4 linked regions of the Schizosaccharomyces pombe genome follow. Changing the gene in region 4 together with the main gene of any one other region gives a genetic interaction. Each region holds a gene or a part of one and is shown on either strand. Other genes may lie near its edges.

Evidence for each region.
Region 1: mutations in dbl8 (region 4) and SPOM_SPAC6G9.01C together harm fitness less than expected from each alone (positive genetic interaction), as found in Schizosaccharomyces pombe (one large-scale study listed by BioGRID).
Region 2: mutations in dbl8 (region 4) and ria1 together harm fitness more than expected from each alone (negative genetic interaction), as found in Schizosaccharomyces pombe (one large-scale study listed by BioGRID).
Region 3: mutations in dbl8 (region 4) and SPOM_SPAC5D6.04 together harm fitness more than expected from each alone (negative genetic interaction), as found in Schizosaccharomyces pombe (one large-scale study listed by BioGRID).

The regions. Positions count from the first base shown.
Region 1 is NC_003424.3:3,240,585-3,244,325, reverse strand, and holds SPOM_SPAC6G9.01C (uncharacterized protein), read left to right. Parts: upstream 1-1,928; 5' UTR 1,929-1,993; coding exon 1,994-2,174; intron 2,175-2,329; exon of another isoform or gene 2,330-2,572; coding exon 2,573-2,671; exon of another isoform or gene 2,672-2,755; coding exon 2,756-2,763; 3' UTR 2,764-3,208; downstream 3,209-3,741. Other genes in the region: RNA-binding protein Nop9, read left to right, coding at 1-1,068; DNA-binding transcription factor Ace2, read left to right, coding at 3,359-3,741.
Region 2 is NC_003421.2:288,230-293,762, forward strand, and holds ria1 (GTPase Ria1), read left to right. Parts: upstream 1-1,650; 5' UTR 1,651-1,682; coding exon 1,683-1,778; exon of another isoform or gene 1,779-1,833; coding exon 1,834-3,986; exon of another isoform or gene 3,987-4,031; coding exon 4,032-4,785; 3' UTR 4,786-5,001; downstream 5,002-5,533. Other genes in the region: spb70 (DNA polymerase alpha B-subunit), read left to right, coding at 1-696, 739-1,047, 1,087-1,257; kpa1 (DinB-like DNA repair polymerase kappa), read left to right, coding at 5,215-5,533. UniProt on the Schizosaccharomyces pombe protein: GTPase involved in the biogenesis of the 60S ribosomal subunit and translational activation of ribosomes.
Region 3 is NC_003424.3:1,504,588-1,509,315, reverse strand, and holds SPOM_SPAC5D6.04 (auxin family transmembrane transporter), read left to right. Parts: upstream 1-1,740; 5' UTR 1,741-2,144; coding exon 2,145-2,288; exon of another isoform or gene 2,289-2,417; coding exon 2,418-2,548; exon of another isoform or gene 2,549-2,584; coding exon 2,585-2,675; exon of another isoform or gene 2,676-2,732; coding exon 2,733-3,725; 3' UTR 3,726-4,228; downstream 4,229-4,728. Other genes in the region: mediator complex subunit Med18, read left to right, coding at 4,578-4,704.
Region 4 is NC_003423.3:2,557,168-2,565,175, reverse strand, and holds the start of dbl8 (ATP-dependent RNA helicase Dbl8), read left to right. Parts: upstream 1-2,006; 5' UTR 2,007-2,048; coding exon 2,049-7,883; 3' UTR 7,884-8,008. Other genes in the region: guanyl-nucleotide exchange factor Muk1, read left to right, coding at 1-379, 428-1,250.

The sequences.
Region 1 (3,741 bases), on a different chromosome or scaffold from region 4:
TTAGTTTCCAAATTGTTACTATCTAACGAGTACGATTTAAAAGAATTACCGTTTATGGAAACTTTGTTGAAGGACGAAACTGGCTCGCGTATTCTGGAGGTCATCGTTGAAAACATGTCAGCCTCTCATCTACTCAGATTTTATGCCGTCTTTGAAGGACGTTTTTATCGGCTTTGTGTTCATCCTATAGCCAATTTTATAATGCAACGTTACATAAGAAGGTTGGGAAGGAAGGAGATTGGTTCTGTCATTGATGAATTAAAGAAGAATACAGACAACATCATTAGGAAGTCATTTCTTCCAGTGTTAAGGACATTACTTGAGAAGAGTAACCATTTACATTGTTATCAAGATGACATATTTTCAATGATTCAGACAAGCGTAACAAATAGTGGAAAGGATGCCAACATTATTCCATGCTTGCTCCGATCGAAGCATAAACGTGATAAAGCCAACCCAGAAAACAAAGAGCGTAAACTTGTTAATAATTTACTGGGTGCTCAACTGTTAGAAGAAATGCTTCACTGTGAGAAACAACATATTCAGTTATTATTAGATAGCGTTTTAGATCTCTCAAAAGAGCAGATTTTGGAATATTGTCTGGAAACAGTATCCTCTCACTTGATAGAAGGAATTCTTGATTTATCAGACTTAAACCCGGTATTTCTTAAAAAATTTCTCAATATCCTTTCCGGATCATTTGCTACATTAGCTGTTTCTGCTCCTGGTTCGCATATTGTAGATAAAGCGTGGAAGGCCACAAGGGCATTGCCGCTTTATCGTACAAGAATTGTTCGTGAGTTGGCTGAAGGTGGTGACGACGTCAAATTTGATTTCTATGGCAAAAAAGTTTGCTCAAACTGGAAGGTCGAGCTTTTTCGTCGAGCTCCTGATGAATGGTATCGTTTCATGAAACAGGATGAACCATCTAAGCGTGTTCATGAACGTGCACGCCAGTATGGTCGTATTGTTTCTGGCAGTTCAGCCAATACTCAGCCTTTGGGGGAGAAGCGCAGCACTGAAAATGATGAAGAGCTTGAGTCCGGTCCTAAAAGAGTGAAAGTCTGAAGGAGAAAAGGTTTCCATTGGTTAAATTGAAATGCACGGCATTTTTACGTCTCGCCAATTTAAGCATGGCATTTTGTTGGTCAAAAAAAAGTTATGTTTTTAATTTAGGTAATATAGGTATTTAATTTTGTTGCGGTTTGCTATGTATAGAGGCGCTTTTGCAGAGTAAGGAAGTAAACTTTGTAAAAGGAATTGTATTTCTAATTATGAATTGATCAACTGAAGAAGAGGTTTCGAATTTTTTGAATTGTTCTACCACTAATAATTTGTGTTTTGTATATTTGTATTCAAATGTTTTGCCTTATTTCTCTAAGGTGGTTTCTAGGCTGAAAAAGAATTGACAGAGGTTTTGAGCTGATTTTCATTGTCAAATAGTATTCACTTTATTTTTATCTTATGCTTAATTACTAAAGTATTTCGTTTATTAAGCAATGAGATTTTGCATTTGTTAATTTGATACAGCAATAATTCGCTTCTTAAATGAAGACAAAAAGTGTTAATTTATGGTATTAGGATAGAGTTGACCTAAATATGCTTTTATAAAGAAAGCTTGGCCAAAGAATTGTCTACATTTTATTGCCGTTTCGAAATACCGATGACAGAGGTGATACAGCTTCTAAACAAAATTAAACAATTTTAAACATAATAAAGAACCAAAGGAAAAAAAAGGAATCGATCAATCTCATGCCTTAATGCTGGTACAAGTTTCTTCTGAAGAATCATTCTTATAAATATTACAAATTCTTTACCGTAATACGAGAGAATACGTTATGCAGATTTAAGCATTTTAGAGAATTCTTATTTTATGAAGCACGGTACCGCAAAAGAATTTCTAGCAAGTTTGCAAGCTACAACAAACTGTCTCTCTACTCAATTATACAATTGCCATTGACTTGGCAAACTCCTCTCTACGAGTATTTAAAAGATGGAAATCGACGACATTTTTGCTTCTAAAAAGGCAAACCCTGCAAATGAAAAGTCAAATGACTCAAAGTCGGAGGCGAAAGCCCCTAAGAAAGGAGCCAAGACAAAATCTACTCCAAGTCGTCCAAAACCTACTAATAACCAAGACGATTTATTTTTAGATCCAAAGGGAGCCTCAGGAAGTAAGACACTTTTTGCCGTTTGATAGTTCATCCTTACATACGTTCTCGCTACTTGGTTAATGATTGCATTCGTTCATGTTTGGCATCCGCGTTGTTTGTCAATTCTTTGACCTCAAATTCATATTTATTGTCTAAAAGATTGAGAAACTTCGAACTGTGCTATATACTTATTTATTTATTATATACTGCTAGAGCTAGATTACGTTTTTCTAGGGAGATACATTTCACAATGATGTTTAGTGTTGGTGGAGACTCCAAATCATTAAGCTCTATTGTGTGGTATTGAACCTTATTCGCTATTCTGTTTACGGGAATGTTTGCCGAACGATGCAATACTTACCTAGCAACGGCACTTTTCTCCTTATCATCAGTAATTGTATTAACGTTTTGTGTTTTAGGAAAGCGTACCGAGGAAGGGTTTCTTGTATATGACGAGGAGGAATTAAACATTGGCCAAGGTGGAGGTACACCGGATTGCCCTTTTGATTGTCAGTGTTGTAAGTAACTTATTCATTGCATTTAAAAACTTTTCCATGGCATTTTTTCTCTTGCTAGCTCTATACTAATACTAATACCTTAAGGTTTTTGATCTCAACGTCGTTGTCGTTTTTTCAGGTTGGTTACCGTTTTTTTTTGGCTTGTCATACTTAATCTATGTTTTCTAATATCATCCATGATCCAGTTGTTGAAGCGTAGACATTTTCATAGCCGTGATTATCCTGTTTATTAGTGGTAGTGTCTTTCAATCAAACCTTTTACTGGTTTAATTCAAAAAATAGTTGATTTGTCCCTTTGGCAACAAAAGGTAAATAAACAATCCCTGGGTCTGTGTTTACACTTGTATTGCGTTGTTGTGATATGGTTCGGTAATCCATGCAATGTAAACAAATAGTGACTTGTTTTGCGGTAAAGTGAAGCATAAAATTCAACAATTGTCGTCATAGCAACGGAGTAGCTATTTGATATAAACAAATAGCCAGCGCACCAAACATTGCTGTAACAAACAAAAAAAAATCGAAGAGTGATTAGTTCAATCATCTACTGGGTTAGACTGGCTTTGAGCCACACTTTCATCTCACTTCAAGTTATCAAGCACTCTTTTCAAGAGTCATTTCTCTCATCGTTCTCTCCTTGATTTCTCTACGCATTGCACTAGATACTCGCTATCCTAAGTAAACAAGACAATGTCGCTTTCATATTTATCATCTTCTTCGCAAAAGTCGTTTGAATCATTTCGACAAGAAGAGAGTCCAGCTTGTAATCATTCGTACCAAAGGGATTATGAAACTTTTGGCGATAGCAAGCATACTTCTTTTTCCTCCTTCGCTCCCTTTGAAAATGAGGTGTCTTTAAATCAAGCTGTTATCCCTTCACCGCCTTCTCATCTTCAGAACTTTCAAGATCAGTTTGACTATAGTTCTGTTCTAAAAACACCGTTTAACCCTTTGTTGGAAGCGAATTCTGCATACTTTTTATCGAACCAAATATCGCTCCCCGACTCTCACTCGTATGCATCCTCCTTTGATGCTTCCTTATCACCCCCTTCCTCGCCTTTAACTTGCGTATC
Region 2 (5,533 bases), on a different chromosome or scaffold from region 4:
TGCAGAAAATACAACATAAGTGATGAAGATTTGGCAAATCCTAGCGAACTTACTCAAGAACCCGTTGTAGTTGTAGGACGAATTGTTGTCGAAAGTACCAATTTAGGTGGAAGACTCAACCAAAATAGCATTTTACTTGAAAGTTCAAGACGTCTAGGCGCTGGTGTTCGAGTTCGTTTGAAGGTGGATGATCTACCAAGTTACTCAATATTTCCTGGTCAAATTGTTTCAGTTAAAGGATCCAATCCTAGCGGTAACATGTTTATCGCCAAGGAAATCCTTCCTATACCTCCTTTGCCGTTCCCAAGTTCATCTAAACAGGAGCACGCTACCTTTGTTGCTAATACAAATAATCAGCCAATTTCTATATATATTGCATCTGGACCTTGGTCTCTCCGTGATGATCTCTCTTTTTCCCCTTTAAAATCAATGATTTCATATGTAAATAAAAATCCTGTTGACTTGGTTATTCTATGTGGTCCATTCTTGGATATTAATCATATACTAATACGTACCGGAAACATTACAGGAACGTCTGCGACTTCTTTGGAAGAGTTGTTTAAAGAGCGTGTCACACCCATATTAAGCCAGCTAACTTGTCCTTGTATTTTAATTCCTCACATCAATGATGCTGCTTCAGATCATCCTGCATGGCCACAGGATGCATTTAATCGGGTGGCCTTAGGTCTTCCATCTGTATGTTAAGTTGTATAATAATTTTTATTGACCAATCCATAGAACTTCAAATGCTTCCCGAATCCTTGCATGTTTTCCATTAATGATGTCGTCTTTGGTGTGTCAACCAACGATATACTCCTTCACACATCTAGAGAAGAGTTATTTCGTCTACCTTCTCATGGTAACTTATTTGCACGTTTGGTTTCTCACGTACTTCACCAAAGGCATTTTTATCCCTTATTCCCTGGAGGTTCTCTTGAAAAGTGCAACCCTTCAAACTTAGATATCGCACATCTTAAACTTGGTGAATTCCTAAATACTATGCCGGACATACTAATTTTACCAAGTGATTTACGTTATTTCGTAAAGGTATGTTAATTTTCTACTTTGTTTTAACTAATGTTATAGAACGTTGAAAACGTTGTATCATTGAATCCTGGTAAAGCGACCAAAGGGATTAATTTGGGCACTTTTGCAAAATTAACTATCGCGCCATTAGAGCTCGGGGATAATGGTTCTTCTAATCATTATTCACATCGTGTATGGCTTCGAACCAAGGCAGAAATTTTAAAACTATGATAATTATACTCTCTTTTTCTGCGGAATTTATTGAAAATATAAAAAATTCAGCGTTAAATATCATTGGTTATCATTATTTATGTAGATGTCTACCATAGACCGTTAGAATTAATTAACTTTTCAGCTTTCATTTTCTATCTATCGCTATTTTGGTTTTCTTCAAATTTTGTTTGCAAAATTACTCATATGTTTATGTTGTTAATTTAACCATTTTCCTCAAATGTCTAAGACAATCTCTGATATATCTCAAATCGCTACTCGCGAACTTTTAGTCGTTGTTTTATAGTTGAATGAGTATTCCTTTTATACTGTAGTATTTGAATGTTCAACATTTTTTCGATTTGGACTCTAGTCTTGGTGTTTCACATCTCAACCTACTTAGTCACTACAGTTGACCTCCAACATACATAGGGGAAGTAGTGCAAATGCCTGTTATTCCTCCAGAAAAGCTTGTGTCCTTACAAAAAAATCAGGAAAATATTCGTAATTTTACATTACTTGCTCATGTAGATCATGGAAAGGTATGAATTTTGCAATTTTAAACTTTTTTGAATAGTTGCTAATGATTAATTAAAGACAACCCTTGCAGACAGTTTACTAGCTTCGAATGGAATCATATCTAGCAAACTTGCTGGTACTGTTCGTTTTCTTGATTTTCGCGAAGATGAAATTACGAGAGGTATTACTATGAAGTCTAGCGCCATTTCATTGTTTTTTAAAGTTATAAGCCAAAATGATGAAAAAAGAGTTGAAAAAGATTACCTGATTAATCTTATCGATTCTCCTGGTCATGTTGATTTCAGTTCTGAAGTATCTTCGGCCTCAAGGCTTTGCGATGGTGCATTTGTTTTAGTAGACGCAGTTGAGGGTGTTTGTAGTCAAACAATTACTGTCCTTAGACAAGCATGGATAGACCGTATAAAGGTGATTTTAGTCATTAACAAAATGGATCGTTTGATTACTGAACTGAAACTGTCTCCTATTGAAGCTCATTATCATTTGCTTCGACTTGTTGAACAAGTAAATGCTGTCATTGGCACCTTTTATACTGGTGAGCTTATGCAATTAGCTGATAACGACGAAGTCATCAGTGATGAAGGTATATATTTCGCACCTGAACAGGGAAACGTTGTGTTTGCTAGTGCATACGATGGCTGGGCATTTTGTTTGGACCAATTTTCAGAATTTTACGAAAAAAAGCTTGGATTAAAACAAAAAGCACTTACAAAATGTCTCTGGGGTGATTATTATCTAGACCCTAAAACTAAAAGAGTTCTTCAGCCCAAACATCTTCAAGGCCGACGGTTAAAACCAATGTTTGTACAATTTGTTCTCGAAAACCTCTGGGCTGTTTATGAATCAGCTGTGAGCAATAGGAACCTTGAAAACATTGAGAAAATCATTAAGGCATTAAACATTAAAGTTCTTCCCCGTGACATCAAATCCAAAGACCCTAGAAATTTGCTACTTGCGATTTTTCAACAGTGGTTGCCACTATCAACTGCAATTTTGTTAACAGCGATTAGGGAAATTCCTTCTCCTATTAACGCCCAAGCGAATCGAGCTAGGAAAGTTTTGAGTTCAACTCCTCATTACGAAATGATAGATCCAGATATTACACTGGCTATGGAAAGTTGTGACGCTAGTAAGGAACAGCCTGTTTTGGTATACATAAGTAAAATGGTAGCTTTTTCTGAAAGAGATCTTCCTAATCATCGTCGCAAACAACTTAGTGCTGAGGAGATGAAATTGATACGTTCAAAATTATCTGAATCAATTGAGAGCGGCATAAATACCATTTCTATTGAGGAAAACGTTTCTTCTACCAACTCTGACAATTTAGAAGGTAGCACAACTGACATGGACGATGATAAGGACATTTTAATTGGCTTTGCTAGGATATACAGTGGCACAATTTCAGTTGGACAGGAAGTATATGTTTATGGTCCAAAATATGATCCAGTCAATCCTGAAAAACATATTACCAAGGTAACGGTTGAGTCATTATATTTAATGATGGGACAGGAGCTAGTTTATTTAGAGACAGTTCCCGCTGGTAACGTTTTCGCAATCGGTGGCCTTGCCGGAACGGTTTTGAGAACAGCAACACTATGCTCATCTCCAAATGGTCCTAATTTAGTGGGCGTAACTCAGCAAATGGAGCCCATTGTGCGGGTCGCTTTAGAGCCTGTTCGTCCATTTGAGATGAACAAGTTAGTGACTGGCCTTGACATGCTTAATCAAGCCGATCCATGTGTTCAAATAGCCGTTGAAGAAAATGGAGAGCATGTAATTATGTGTGCCGGAGAGATTCATTTGGAAAGATGTTTAAAAGACCTTAGGGAACGGTTTGCAAAAATTGAAATACAAGCATCTCAGCCACTTGTGCCATATCGGGAAACTACCATAGCTACACCCGACTTATTAGCAAAAAATAAAGAACTGAGTATTGGCTTTGTCACTGCAACGTTACCAGTTGGCGGAGTTACGATTGGAATTACAGTAACACCTCTTTCTGGGTCTGTCGTAGATTTTCTGCTGAAGCACTCTAAAACAATTGAAAATGTTAGCAGCAATTTTTCAAAGAAAAATAGAAACGTTGTTGTCTCGGAATCTTTAACAAAAAGTATGGAGGAAGTGTTGACTCCTGAGAAGTTTTATGAAAGGCTTTCCAAGCTTTTAGAGGAAGAGAACTCTGACTTAGGCGAGCTGAAAAATCATTTGGATAGGTAGGTTATACTAGTGTTCTATTGGTTGATTACTAACAATACTAGTATCATTGCGTTTGGCCCCAAACGAGTGGGTCCTAATATACTTTTTGACAAAACCAAGAAGATGAGAGATTTTCGACGACAAAGCGATGAAACAAAATTAATACCCTCAGACCTTTCTGAATATGTAGTTACTGCATTTCAACTAATAACGCACCAGGGACCATTGTGTGCTGAACCCGTTCAAGGCATTTGTGTGTCAATCGATCAGTTTGACATATCTGATGACTCGGAAGATAGTAAGTTACTTACCATCAATAATCCCCAAATCCCCGGTCAAGTTATTTCGGTAGTGAAAGAGTCTATTAGACATGGATTTTTAGGTTGGTCACCGAGACTTATGCTAGCCATGTATTCTTGCGATGTTCAGGCCACATCTGAAGTCTTGGGTAGGGTATATGGTGTTGTTTCGAAGCGACGAGGACGAGTAATTGATGAAGAAATGAAGGAAGGGACTCCATTTTTTATTGTAAAAGCCTTGATTCCAGTTGTTGAATCCTTTGGATTCGCTGTAGAAATTTTGAAAAGGACATCTGGTGCTGCCTATCCTCAATTAATCTTCCATGGTTTTGAGATGCTAGACGAGAATCCCTTTTGGGTTCCAACTACTGAGGAGGAATTGGAAGATTTAGGCGAGTTAGCCGATCGCGAAAATATTGCTAAGCGCTATATGCTGAACGTTCGAAAAAGGAAAGGCTTATTGGTAGAGCAAAAGATTGTTGAAAAGGCAGAGAAGCAGAGGACACTGAAGCATTAAAGATAGTACTTGATTCCAATTTCTTTAGGAAAACGAAAAGATTGTAATTTGATGACAATGACCTGGTTAGATGGAGGTAATGTTTTTTTTTTTTTTTTTGTTACATTGTTGAGGTAGCTGTGATTTTGAGTTAAGTGTTTCATGAACTATGGGACTAAGATTAGAAGTCTATAAGATGAATAGTGTAAAACGCACATGCAAGATTCTTTAGGCTTCTTTTTGTTATGTTTTAAATTGTTAATACAAATTCAAATTTCCAAAAAATACCGATGTTGTGGGATATGCATAATACAAATAATGATATACTCTACTGCGTAATCGCTAGAAGGTGATAGATTACAGACGCGACGCGCCAAAACACAAACACATCTTTGTACTAATTCAAATTCTAGTATTTTGAAAACTATTCGCCTTAATGTTTTTTGACGGATGGAAAATGCAAAAGATTTTATAGGAGAAACAATAAAGGAGAATGGATTACTTACCATTGAAGATGATGGTAGCAGTAGTTCAGATGAAGAAGCTACTTTAAAACGACGATTGGCAGGCCCTTCTGTTCTCAAGTCAGGACAGGAAAATGTTAATCAAAAAAAGATTAACGAGATAATTTACGAAGCTTCCAAAGGAAGTAAGTTTTTTGAAGCCGAACAAAAACGAGACCGAGAACTTCGTTTAAGAATAGAAAAGGTTCAAGTTGAGGTAGAAAAATACCAATCAAAATTAAGGTTTGATAAAGCGTTTCAAAGAG
Region 3 (4,728 bases), on a different chromosome or scaffold from region 4:
GGCCCATTTTAAGCTTGCTTTAAATAAAAAAAAAAAAAGTAAATAGATTTAATTGACAAAAAAATTGTTCCCCATTAATGATGCGTCAAATTTCCTTGCAAAATATCGCTTCAAAATTTTATATGACTGCAGTTACTTCCGTTTATTTTCAACAAGAAAGGAGTAATTAACAATACAGTAAGGATGCAGTGAAGTTAAAAAAAATAAATAAATAAAATAAAAATTGGAAAGAAATAATATAGAAACTGATTGATATTAGTTAAATTTTTTGTACTCACTAATAAAACCTCATGCTTTTCTTTTTTTTAATTTATATGATAAAAAATTTATTGATAATAACTCTCAAGACTAAGTGCTATGATTCTACTAACTACAGAGTTATTTCACTTCTTTTGGCTGATTTTGTTTGTCAAGCATTTCATTGATTAACGACATGAGAATTGTTAAAAAAATTTCACCATTTTTGTAATTAAATATTTACTACAAATGAAGAACTGAAGGTTTAACGTAAATTGTTACGTGACTGATAAAAAGAGGAACCTCTCAAAGGATTTTTAATACTTGGGAAGCAATTAATTAAGCATAACAATAGAACACTGTATTAATTTATCTACGGACTTCTGTATACATCTTTACATGCAAACACAATAAGCTCTTGATAAAAATAACCAGGAAAAACGGTGTTACATATTAAAATATTGCTACTGTATATAAAATCTCGTCCCTTTGAATCCAGTCTATACTTCTATAATGTTCAAACATGCTTTCAAACTTCCAACCTTCATTGAACCTGTCCACATCGCAAGGAACATGTGACCTGGTAAAGATGGCAAAAATTGTTGGGAGCAGTAGGTGCAAAAGTTAGAGCTTCGGCAGATGTTTCGAAAACAAACAGAAAATTGCAAGGAAGACATAAAGAAAACAAAACCAATAAAGCAGAAAATGTATAAAAACTAGCTATCTTCTGCTAAAACTCACATTTAAGTTACACAAAGTTGTGTACGATTGTTCTGCTATTTAACGCTTTAGCTATTTCACAACCGAACCTATGCGGTAATGAATGCAATCATGCACAAACCAATCTGATGTTTAGTACAGCTTCAACAAAAGTTTTTCGAGTTTGATCGAAAATTTAAGGACAATTAAATTTTTCTACAACAACAGAAAATAAAATGGTTTGACAGTGAATCCTCGACAATACTATCATTGGTATCAATTCCTTGCTATCCACAACTTATAATTATAGCGTTACGTTAAAATATTTTATATTATTTTTAACAAACACCATTATGTTACGAATAAAAAAGAAATTTCATAATGGAATACAAGTTGACTCAACGGATTCTATAATAAGTGTCAGGTAGGTATATCCCTTTTTTTTTCGACCATACTAAAATCAATCAACATTCATTTTTTATTTTGAGAAACTTGAAGGTGTTCGAAATTAATGTAATTTTTTTAATTGATCTGCCGTAAATATTAAAAATCCTAAAACAACGAAATCTAAGTCTGATTACGTTATAGAGATCATTTATGGATTGGCCGAATTCTTCTTTCATTTCTCCTTACAAGCATCTTATTTTTCCCTAATTTGTAAAGAAAGTATTTCATAAAGCCTCAATAATTGTTTCTGTGTATCTTTTTTTTACCTATCAGTTTCATGCGTCAGTTTGCCATTCTAAGTAACAATGTTTCTCCACGCGGTTTACTGACTTTGAGGCTTTGAATTTTTGTCGTTCTAACCTATACCTTGAAAACAAACAGGCCTTTCAGCTTAACCTACCCTTTTCATTCTGCTGTTTGCAGAGAAAAGACTTTGACGATTGAAAATTTCTGGCATTTGAATTGACTTTTGTTGGGAACATTTTGATCAATTTACTTTTAGAGTGATTACTCCTTATTCCTGTTTTTTGAGAAGCTTTTGTTGATAGACCGCATAATAATCTTATCCTATTATTTATAGGAAATACTTTTTTTTCTTGTTATACTTTAACCGGTTTCACTGTTGATCGACCTTATTGGTTTTTTCTTTTTTTTTTTGCTTTTCCTTGATTTGATTCCTGTTGTTGTGTGGAATTCGGTTTAACTAGTGAAAAAGTTTTCTTAAGGATTCAATCTTTTTATCCGTCATTTAGTGAAAAATTATGGGATTCTTTTCTTCTCTTGGCCAAATTAATGTTTGGAGCCTTCTAAGGCCCATTATCGAAAGTGACTTGGAAGTTATTGTGATCGCTTTGGGTGGTTATGTATTAGCTAAAAAAGGCTTTCTTCCTAGAGATGCTCAGAAGGTATGATTCATTTTACCCCCCGTTTTAAAGAAAAATGGAGCAGTGAAATAAAGAAATAAATTTTCAACTATTAAATTTCTTCTCTTCATTTATCTTTGCGTTCTCTAGTATTTTACTAACTTTACACAGGTAATATCCAGCCTGAACGTTTATTTCTTTACTCCTTGTCTAGTATTTGAAAAAGTTGGCAACGGTTTGAATTTGAAGATGCTGATTGATCTTTCTCTTTTACCCGTGTTTTATGTTATCATCTCCGCAGCGTAAGTATTTAAGTCATTCACTTTGCTAACTTTCAGTTCTATTCTGATATCATTTTTACTTGCAAAACTCTTCCGACTGACACCTCGCCAAAGGAATTTCGCCACTGCCTGCATAACGTTTCAAAACGTACGTACCTTACCTGCAAGAATATTGTTCGTTTGTTTTTGTTTACTAACTCTTTAGTCAAATTCCTTACCTTTGGCCTTGGTATCTTCTTTAGCTACTACTGTAAAGGATTTGCTATGGGACAAAATTCCCGATGATACACCTGATAAGGTTGCTTCACGCGGTATTATGTATTTGCTTATTTTCTCTCAGTTAGGTCAAGCTCTTCGTTGGTCCTATGGTTATCGTATTCTCCTTTCTCCGAATCAACCGGAGGACCCTCTACCTATCGGTAACCGTTCTTGGTCACATAGCGATGTTAATGAAGAAGAAATTCAGAATTTGTTGGCTTCTAGTGCAAATGTAGATGGGGTTCAAAATTCTGTTCAGGCAAATGAGGGCTCAACTGTTCAAACTGATTCTTCTGCGATTTCCAAAAATGACAACGTTCAAGTTGAAACCTCTAACGAAGAAGTTGGTGGGTTTGGAGCAGCCTCTTCGAAGATCTCGAAGTTTATTGTTTTACTGTTAGATTTCTTCAGCCCTCCTTTATACTCCTTATTTATCGCCTTATTTATTGCTGTTGTTCCTCCTCTGCAACGCTTTTTCTTCGAAGAAGGTTCGTTCGTTGAAGGTAGCATCACCAGTGGTATTCGAATGGCTGGTCAAGTTGCTGTTCCTATGATTTTGGTAGTTTTGGGAGCAAGTCTTGCTACTGATATTTCCAAAACTGAACCTACTCAAGAAGTCCGTAAAAATAACGATACTCGAGTAATTATTGTGTGTCTTCTTGGCCGTATGGTAGTTGTTCCTCTGGCATTATTACCCGCTTTCAGTTTACTCTCATACTTCAGTGAAATAAGTACTGTTGATGATCCTGTTTTTGTTGTTGTTATTTTCTTGCTTGTGGGAAGCCCAACCGCCATTCAATTAACACAAATCTGCCAACTGAATGGTGTATTTGAACGCGAGTGTGCCAAAGTTTTATGGTGGTCTTATGCCGTCTTTACTCCTCCTAATTCGTTGTTGCTAGCCTTTGCTAGTCTTTTAGTTGTGAAATGGACAAAATAAAGTTAAAATCGTTAACGTCTGATGATTTTTGTTTTACAATATCGTTTTCTGCGTATACTTTAACAATTGAGAGCACACGGAAAGTTTACTTATCACATTAATTTAACATAGTCAATTGGTCAAACGTAGTGACTCGATATTGATTAACCTGGCGGTCTTTTTCCATTTCGAAAAGCTCACATTTAATATGTTTTTATTGGTTTAACTGGTATTATTAATACCGCTAAATAGTTTTTTTTAATCTTTTATTGTTTTCTTTTTAAACTCTGTTTGCTCTTATACAATGCATAAGAAATCACTTTCCATTTTCAATTTCTATAATGTTTGGATATCATGTTCATAATGATTCGTTATTGAAGTGTTCAGCTTTGTTGGACCTCGATAGCAACTTAAGTTATATCGTCTTTCTAATATAAAGTTTATTTTATGCGGCGTTTACCACAACGTCCCAAAAATCAAATATGTTGGTATAAATATTAGTTGACCGAATTGTTTTACTATTATAGTTTGATTATTTAATCAAGAATCAAGTAACACGGCGCTCAATATTATTAAAGGAAATAAAGCAATAATAGTATCAATTCGAAGAAAATGTGAAAGAAATATTGGATCAATACTATGTTCCATAATGGCGATTCATAATGATTCTCATTCTTTCATCGTTAAGGTCGTTCGTTACATAGCTAACTACACCGCGTTGAAAACACTGCTCATTAGGCTTCCAACAGCAATTTTCCCTTACTACTGACATTGCATTGTATATTTTGTTCACTATTTCTACAACCATCAGTAGCTTAGCTTTAGTAGACGCTTAAGAGATAAAAGAAATCAATTTCGGTGAGGTGCGATGCTATGCAAGAACTGTATCTTTTAGGAGTAGTCCCCTCGAGGCGTTTTGAAGCAGTTGTAAATTCTTTATCAAAAACGTTGGATGGTCCGAAAACAATATTGGAGTTTTGGGTAGTTTACCGTCCTAAAGGTATGTCGTGAAAAATGCATATGT
Region 4 (8,008 bases):
TTCTGAATTCTTGGAGAGCTGTTAAATATACAAATAAGCCTAAGGAAGAAGACATCAAACTCCCAAATTCTGCATCAAATCTTCCAACTACTGTACAAGCATGTGTGATACAGTTTATCTCTTCTCTAGTTAGTCCGGTTCACCCTCAATTGCTTTCGCCTGAAGAACTAGCAAAAGCATTTCAAAACTTTTACAAGCATACCGATGAGTTTATTGCTTCAACCCTTATCCCTCAACCCTCTTCAAAAGATCAAAATGTGCCTCTTTTGTTTCCTGAGGAAATAGATGCTCAGAAAAAGGCGAGACAACACTTGCTGAACCAAAAAGATGAATGGATGGACCAAATTGAAGATATAGTTTGCGAATATTTGTATGATCGGTATGTGATTACTTCGCCTACAATAACTGTTTACTAATATTGTGTTAGGATTTTCTGTTTATCTACAAGTACGGATGCTGCCAAAGATGACTTGTTAAAAAAATTTATTGCTTCTGAAGAAAAGAAAGAACTTATCAATTGCATTCCAATACCTGATGATGAAAAACTTACAAACCGGTTACATGAAGTCTCTGAAGCATTTTTTGCTCTCGATGAGCAACACACACCTAGATCGAAAATAAACACTTTTATGACCGTTAATTCAAGTATATTGAATGCCTCTCAACTTCCTCAAGAAGAATTGAATGCTGATTCTTTATTAAATTTGACCATATATTGCATTCTCTGTTATCCCGGATTTCATTTAATATCGCACCTGAATTTTGTGTTACGCTTTCGAAATGCAGATTTTTTAAGCGGAGAGCAAAGATACTGTCTCACAACTTTTGAGGCAGCCCTTACTTTTATTCTTCGAGCTTGTCCAAATCTTTTAACTCAATCGTCAATTCAACCCTCTGATGATCCTCTTTCACTTGAGGTAGCTAATAGCGAAACAGTTTCGACCTCTAACTCGCTTCATGATCCGAGTGCAGAACCCTACCCTGTGAATCGCTCATCTTTATCTAATTTAAGAAATCTGGGACTAGCACTTGAGAAATCTTATGCCTCTCTACTTAGTAAAGTAGCCAATCACACTGCCAAAAGTTCAGAAGATTCTTCCAATTCTGTAGAATTCGTGGGCGACCCACCTTTGGAACGCTTTTTGACTGTTTCTGATGCTAGCGATCTTAAAATCGGTGAAATTGAACTTCTTCTTTCTGACTATAAGCGCCTCGCACGTTTGCTTTTTGAGAAAAATGGTAATCAGTAATTTTGACTGAATATTTTCTTTAAAAATTTCACATCCAGTTGGTTTTCGGCTTTGTTTATGGTTATTTGATTCATTTGAGAGACAAAGTCATATAGAAAAGTTATATGATTGATCAATATTTTTTTTTTCTTTGTTGCAGGTCAATTCGTGAACAGCTTAAAAGTTTAAAAGAAAATTTTTATTCAAAACAAGGATTGATTATTCCTTGACGTCTATTTTATTAATGTATGAATATCACAAAGAACTAGCAAAAATGATTTAAGCTTGTATGTTGACGCAAAGATTGCATGCGAATTAAATCCTTACAAAGGAAATATATGAAACGAATATATCATGTTACTGCAAAATTTTTAAATATACTGAATAAAATGAACTGTGATTCTTTGCTCAGTGAAGAAAATAGTCATATTTGAAACTAGGAATTAAACACACAATCACAAACTTCGGATTATAATGGGTAAGAAAGTTTTTTAAGTTGTCACATTATATATAGTAATGTTTAAAATATATTTCGGATAATCATATATATCTTAATTACAATAAAGAAGCGTGATTTTGGTACATGAATTTATATACACTTTCAAAATATACGTTCATTTTTTTATTTAAAATTTCTCTTAAGGCTATTTTATTTCAATGCGATAATCGAGTGCTGTGTGGACATCAAATGATTGGTTGCACTAAATGTTTATAGTGAATAGTGTAATTTACTTCCTTAGAAACCTAGATTTTGAAAAATTGCAGTCGCGCTTTAATAAGTCTACTTCGAGAGTGAGAATGCAGCATTAGCTTGTGGTTATGGAAAATGACGAGGCTTTTGATAGATTAATAAGAAAAATTCAGGAAAATCAAAAACACCCATCTTTCGAAGGGTCCAATAAAGTTTTGCATTTGGCGCTTTCATACCTAAATACTAACAGACAAAACCCTCATTGGGTTTGTGATCCTAAATTACAAGTAGCAGTTCGTGAATGTCTTTTTCTATTTTCTTTTCAAAATGATAACGAGTATCTGGTATGGTTCAAAAAACATTTGAACGAACGCCTTCAGTTATGCCCCAAATGTATAGTTAAATATCACCAATCTTTAGATGATTTCAAAAGTCTATGTTTAAACATTTTTCACTTTGACCCAAATACTCTTGAGATTGTAATGGAGAAAATTTATAGTTGGGACATTTTTCGGTTACAGGAAGTTCTCAAAACAGTGCCTAAAATCGACACGTCCTCGGCCTCTAAACCTATACTATGCGCCTTCTACGAAATCTTATACTCTCCTCGTATTTTACATAATAAAGAAATCTTTCCCTTGTTCCGAAACAGATTTCTTGAGTCCGGTTTTCTTCGGCTCTCGAAAAACCTAGTGCCAGGTGTCATAAGTCTTCTCTTCTCGAGAGATGATGAGCTCCGAAGATGGGCTTGCAGTATTTTAAGTGATGTAAAAACAATCTCCGATAATGAATTTAAAATCCTTGAGGGTCCCCTTCTTCAGGAAATTCGTTCTTTAGACCAGAAGAAAGAAAATGAGAACGAGATGCAAATTTTTCTGAAAGGTTTATCGTTGCTGTTAAAGCATGTTGATCATCTTTATTTTAGGGGACTTACAGGAAAAAATTTCAATGTCGCCGATTTTATTCTTTCGGGATTGCAAAGCGACCATACTAATTTATGTCCGTCTTTCCTTGTATGTTTACATTCTTTGTTATACTGCTATGGACGTAATTTTTGGACGCCAGAAATTTCTCCCAGTGAAGTAATAGATAAAATTTTTAATGGTAATGCTTATAAGAGGTGGACAGAAGAAAATACATCCAATTTTTCAAACGACCAAAAGGCAGAGAATCCGTTTGAATGGGCTACCTCTCTTTTGAAGACAATTTCAATCATTGATGAAGTTGAATTAATTAACAAAATTTTGATTAATTACACCATGCAATATAAAAAGGAACTGGAAGTCGGTTTCAAAAATGTTCAGTTACTTCAATCACTTGCTGACATATTTTCAGTTTTGTTTTCCGAATATTTTATGATTTTCCCCCATAGTGATCAAAGTTTACAAAACAAAGTATTTGAATTACATTCCACTTTAGCGATTAAGTTTGACGAGCTGTTTCGTTTGCTAAACTTGGAAAATGAAGAGTCTGTTGAATGGAGGCTTATTAAGAAAGTTTTTGAATACCGATTGAATTTAGATCTTTATATTTTGAAGCAATTCTATTGCCATTATTTGGACAGAAATAGAAAGCCACCCTTGAATATCAAATCGGTAAGTGAGTCTTTTAAAAATTTTTGGGTATATTTGCAAAACGTATTTCGAGAGGAGAAGTTCTTTATGGTTCGTATTGTTTTTCGTGCTTGCTCTACAGTTTGCTTGATTGATAAGTTGCCGCCTAAGAAAGTTGACATTCCGTTCAAAAGTGATTTCGAAAATGCACTAAACGGATTTGTTGCAACATTTTCTGAAATGCTTATTCAGACTCAATGTTGGCATTTGTCGGCACAAACCCAATTGGTTTCAAATCCTTTAACTTTTCGTGGAATCTTTTCACTCGTTTTTTCTCCAATTCTTGAGATCTCAACAGGAAGTATCTCAATTATTAAATCTATTTCGCTTTCTGACAGCGTTGTTGATACTATAGGAGAGCTATTGAGAAGCCAGTTTTCAAATACACTAAATTCTTCATGTTATGTTCTTCTGCAGTGGCTTAAAGTCAGAAACTTTGGAGGAGCCAAGCACATTGTTTATTTTAATAAATTAATTATAAACACTATTTTTGACTCTGTTGATGGCTTAACTTCTAAGGATGCGACTTTTGCAAAACAAGTGGAAAAGAAAGAATCCCTTAAGAATTTCTGGGAATCGTTATGGAAATTCTTTACTCATTTTTTCATTGTTCTTCCTACTTGGCCAGTTCATGATAAGGACAATTTAGTTGATTTAATGCGGGATACCCTTGATTTTTGCGATATGCTCATTAATATTTTTGAGGAAGTTAACGGATTCATTTTTGGATTATCGGATAACGATATTAAAATTGTTTCGGCTAATGATAAGGGCAGTGCTTTAGCTATGTGTATAGCTGATTCTTTGGTTACTGTATCTTATTGGCTTAAGTTAACTGATTCTTCACTTCTAACATCCGTTGTGAAAGTGATTTGTAAAATGCTTAAAATTTGTAAAAAGTTGGAGTGTCCAATTAGTCAAAATGTGATTGATATTATCCATAGGGCATCAATTACCAGTGATGAACAAACAATTCTTACATTCACTGAGAGAGAGGATCTTTTTATATCGCTCACACCATACCTTTCAGAAGACGTTCTTAATCACTCTCCTTTCAATGATACCAATACGCTTGAAACTAAGTTACAGAGTGATGATCGGGGTTTGCTTTCTAAAGACCAGACTATTGGGATTGCGAAAAAATTACCTGAGTCAAACATTAGTACTTCAAATCATTTTTTGCTTCCTCCGAAGGCTATTTCTGCTTCTAAAGCCATCAATAGAAATGCTCAAAAATCTCAAAATTTAAATTTTTTGAAATCTAAACAAGAGACAACACAGCGAATTCGCGAATCCGCGAAAGTTCCAAGAACCAGTGCGGGGAACCATCTTTCTGAGAAACTTAATTCGGATAATCATATACCAAAAGCTTTGCAAAAGCTCGATTCTGCTGACCCAATTCGCAAGCCTTCACTTTTGCACACTTCTAAAAGTTATTCTAATCCAGATGACAAAAATACTTCAACTTCCGATGAAGATACCTCGGAGTCCGAAGAAGAGTCTAGTAACGGTCTATTCTCGCTTGCACGTGAAGCTAATTCTCATGCCTCTAAATCTCTTCCACAAAGAAGGCAGATTCAGTTCTTGGACTTTGATTCCCTTAAAACAAAAAATGTAGTTCATCCTACTCAATTGCGCCGTAATACTCAACAAAGTGCACAACTTGCTCGACTCCGGCTAAACCCTGATGTTCAAGAGTTTTACAAAGTAATTTTGGGTTGGAACCCATTAGCTGATTCTTTTTCGGCGTCTAATGTTGAGATGCAGTGCGTCCAAGCTAAATTCACGTATAATGATTCAAACGCTTATGAGAAAGTTTTCAAACCAATGTTGTTTCATGAATGTTGGGCTCAAGTGAAAAGTGCCGTTGAAGAAAAGCAATACCCTCCCATAGATTTAATCCTCAACACCCGCAGTACAGTTGATAACTTTGTCGATATTTACTTTACGTCCTGTTCACCTACCGAAGTCTCTTTTTTAAGTGATACAGATATTTGCTTACTGTCAAAATCACAAAGTTCGGGCGATACTAATAACCCAAAATCTTTTCAGTTGTGCAAAATTCAATCCATTTCTCGTAAAAAAGAATCACTTGAACTCTGTCTGCGGATGAATATTGAATCAATTGATCTACAGGAGTATGCACCGAACATTAGGTTCACAGCACAAAAATTATTTAATGCTACTACTAGCTTACGTGAATTTGCTGCTTTAAAATCTCTTCGCCATTTACCATTGTCTCAGAGAATTCTGGATGCCAATGTAACGCGTCTACCTTCAAATTTTACAGATGACAAAAAGCAAAAAATAATGAAGTCTTATGGTGTAAATGAACCCCAGGCATATGCGATTTATGCATCTTCTGTAAATGATGGTTTTACGCTCATTCAAGGGCCTCCTGGAACTGGAAAAACTAAAACCATTCTAGGCATGATTGGAGCTGTACTTACTTCTTCTAGTCAAGGGTTGCAATTTAATGTCCCAGGACAGACGCGAAAAACCTCAAAGAATAAGATTTTAATATGCGCTCCTAGTAATGCAGCCATAGATGAAATTCTCCTTCGTATCAAAGCCGGTGTTTACGATCATGAGGGTATCAAATTTTTTCCAAAAGTTATTCGTGTTGGATTTGGTGACTCCATAAGCGTTCACGCTAAAGAATTTACTTTGGAAGAGCAAATGATAAAGCAAATGGAACTTACGAACCTAAAGAAAGATCAAGAAGCAAACAATTCCAGTGATACTCGGAAAAAATATGACTCAATTATTAAAAAAAGGGACTCTTTACGCGAAGATCTAGAAAAGTTTCGTAGTACTGGAAAAAATAGTTCAATATTGGAAGCACAGCTTCGTGAGATTACCAAACAGAAAAACATGCTTGAACAGAGCCTTGATGATATGAGAGAACGTCAACGCTCAACTAATCGTAATCTGGATGTTTTGAAAAAACAAATACAAAATCAACTACTTCAGGAAGCTGATATTGTATGTGCTACCTTATCTGCGAGTGGTCATGAACTACTTTTAAATGCGGGTTTGACTTTTCGAACTGTCATAATTGATGAAGCTGCACAAGCCGTTGAATTAAGTTCAATCATACCTCTTAAGTATGGCTGTGAGAGCTGTGTAATGGTTGGTGATCCGAATCAGCTTCCTCCTACTGTGCTATCAAAAACCTCTGCAAAGTTTGGATATTCACAATCTCTATATGTCAGAATGTTCAAACAGCATAATGAGAGCGCTTGTCTTCTTAGCATACAGTATAGAATGAATCCTGAAATTAGCCGATTTCCCAGCAAGTTTTTCTATAATTCAAAACTACTTGACGGTCCCAATATGTCAGCAGTGACATCTCGACCTTGGCACGAGGATCCGCAGCTAGGTATTTATCGATTTTTTAATGTTCACGGGACGGAAGCTTTTTCCAACTCAAAGTCTCTGTACAATGTGGAAGAGGCTTCGTTTATTTTATTATTATATGAGAGGCTAATTCAATGTTATCTAAACATTGATTTTGAGGGGAAAATTGGAGTTGTTACCCCTTATAGAAGTCAAGTACAACAGCTTCGATCACAATTTCAAAGAAAGTATGGTTCCATTATATTCAAGCATCTTGATATTCATACCGTCGATGGGTTTCAGGGACAGGAAAAGGACATTATAATTTTTTCTTGCGTTAGGAGTTCGATGAGCGGTGGAATCGGTTTCCTTCAAGATCTTCGTCGGCTTAATGTAGCTTTAACAAGAGCTAAATCATCTTTGTATATCGTAGGCAATTCTAAACCGCTAATGCAAGAGGATATTTTTTATAGCTTGATTGAAGACGCAAAAACTCGTGGTGTTTGGAGAGACTTGAGTGCTAATCAATTTAAGAACTCAAAAAGTATATCAAACGTTTCGACACACCTCGCATCTAACAATTTAAATTTAGCCTCACGGGATACCCCAATTAAGTCGCCGTCGGTTGGTATCTGTGAGGAAAAACAAGAAGCACATAAAGTCAAAAAACGGCACAATATAGATAGTGCTAATTTGTCAAGAGGAACTGAGAGAGATGAAGATATACCGAATAAGCGCGCTAAGAACAAAGTTTCCACTGATCAGACTGCTGCTGATAATAAGGTCACGAAACCACGCCTTGATGAATCATCCAGTTCCAAGCAAGATGTGTTAAACAAAATAGACGAATCTGAAATTGAACAAGCGTCTTCCAAAAAGCCGGGTTATGTGGAAAAAAATAAAGATAAAGGCCATATGAAAAAATCAAAAAAGCCCAAATCGAAACTTGCTCTGGCGGCGATGGCCCACGGTTTTGCACCTCCAAAAGTTGAGCATTTCAAAAGGAAGTAGCCGATTTAGGTTTTAGTATGAGTATTTTACAGTATTACTTTTTTAATAACACGAGTAGCGGGACGTTTTCAATCATTTGAATCTTAGACATAGTTTATTTATTAATATTTCTCCTATCTAAAAAT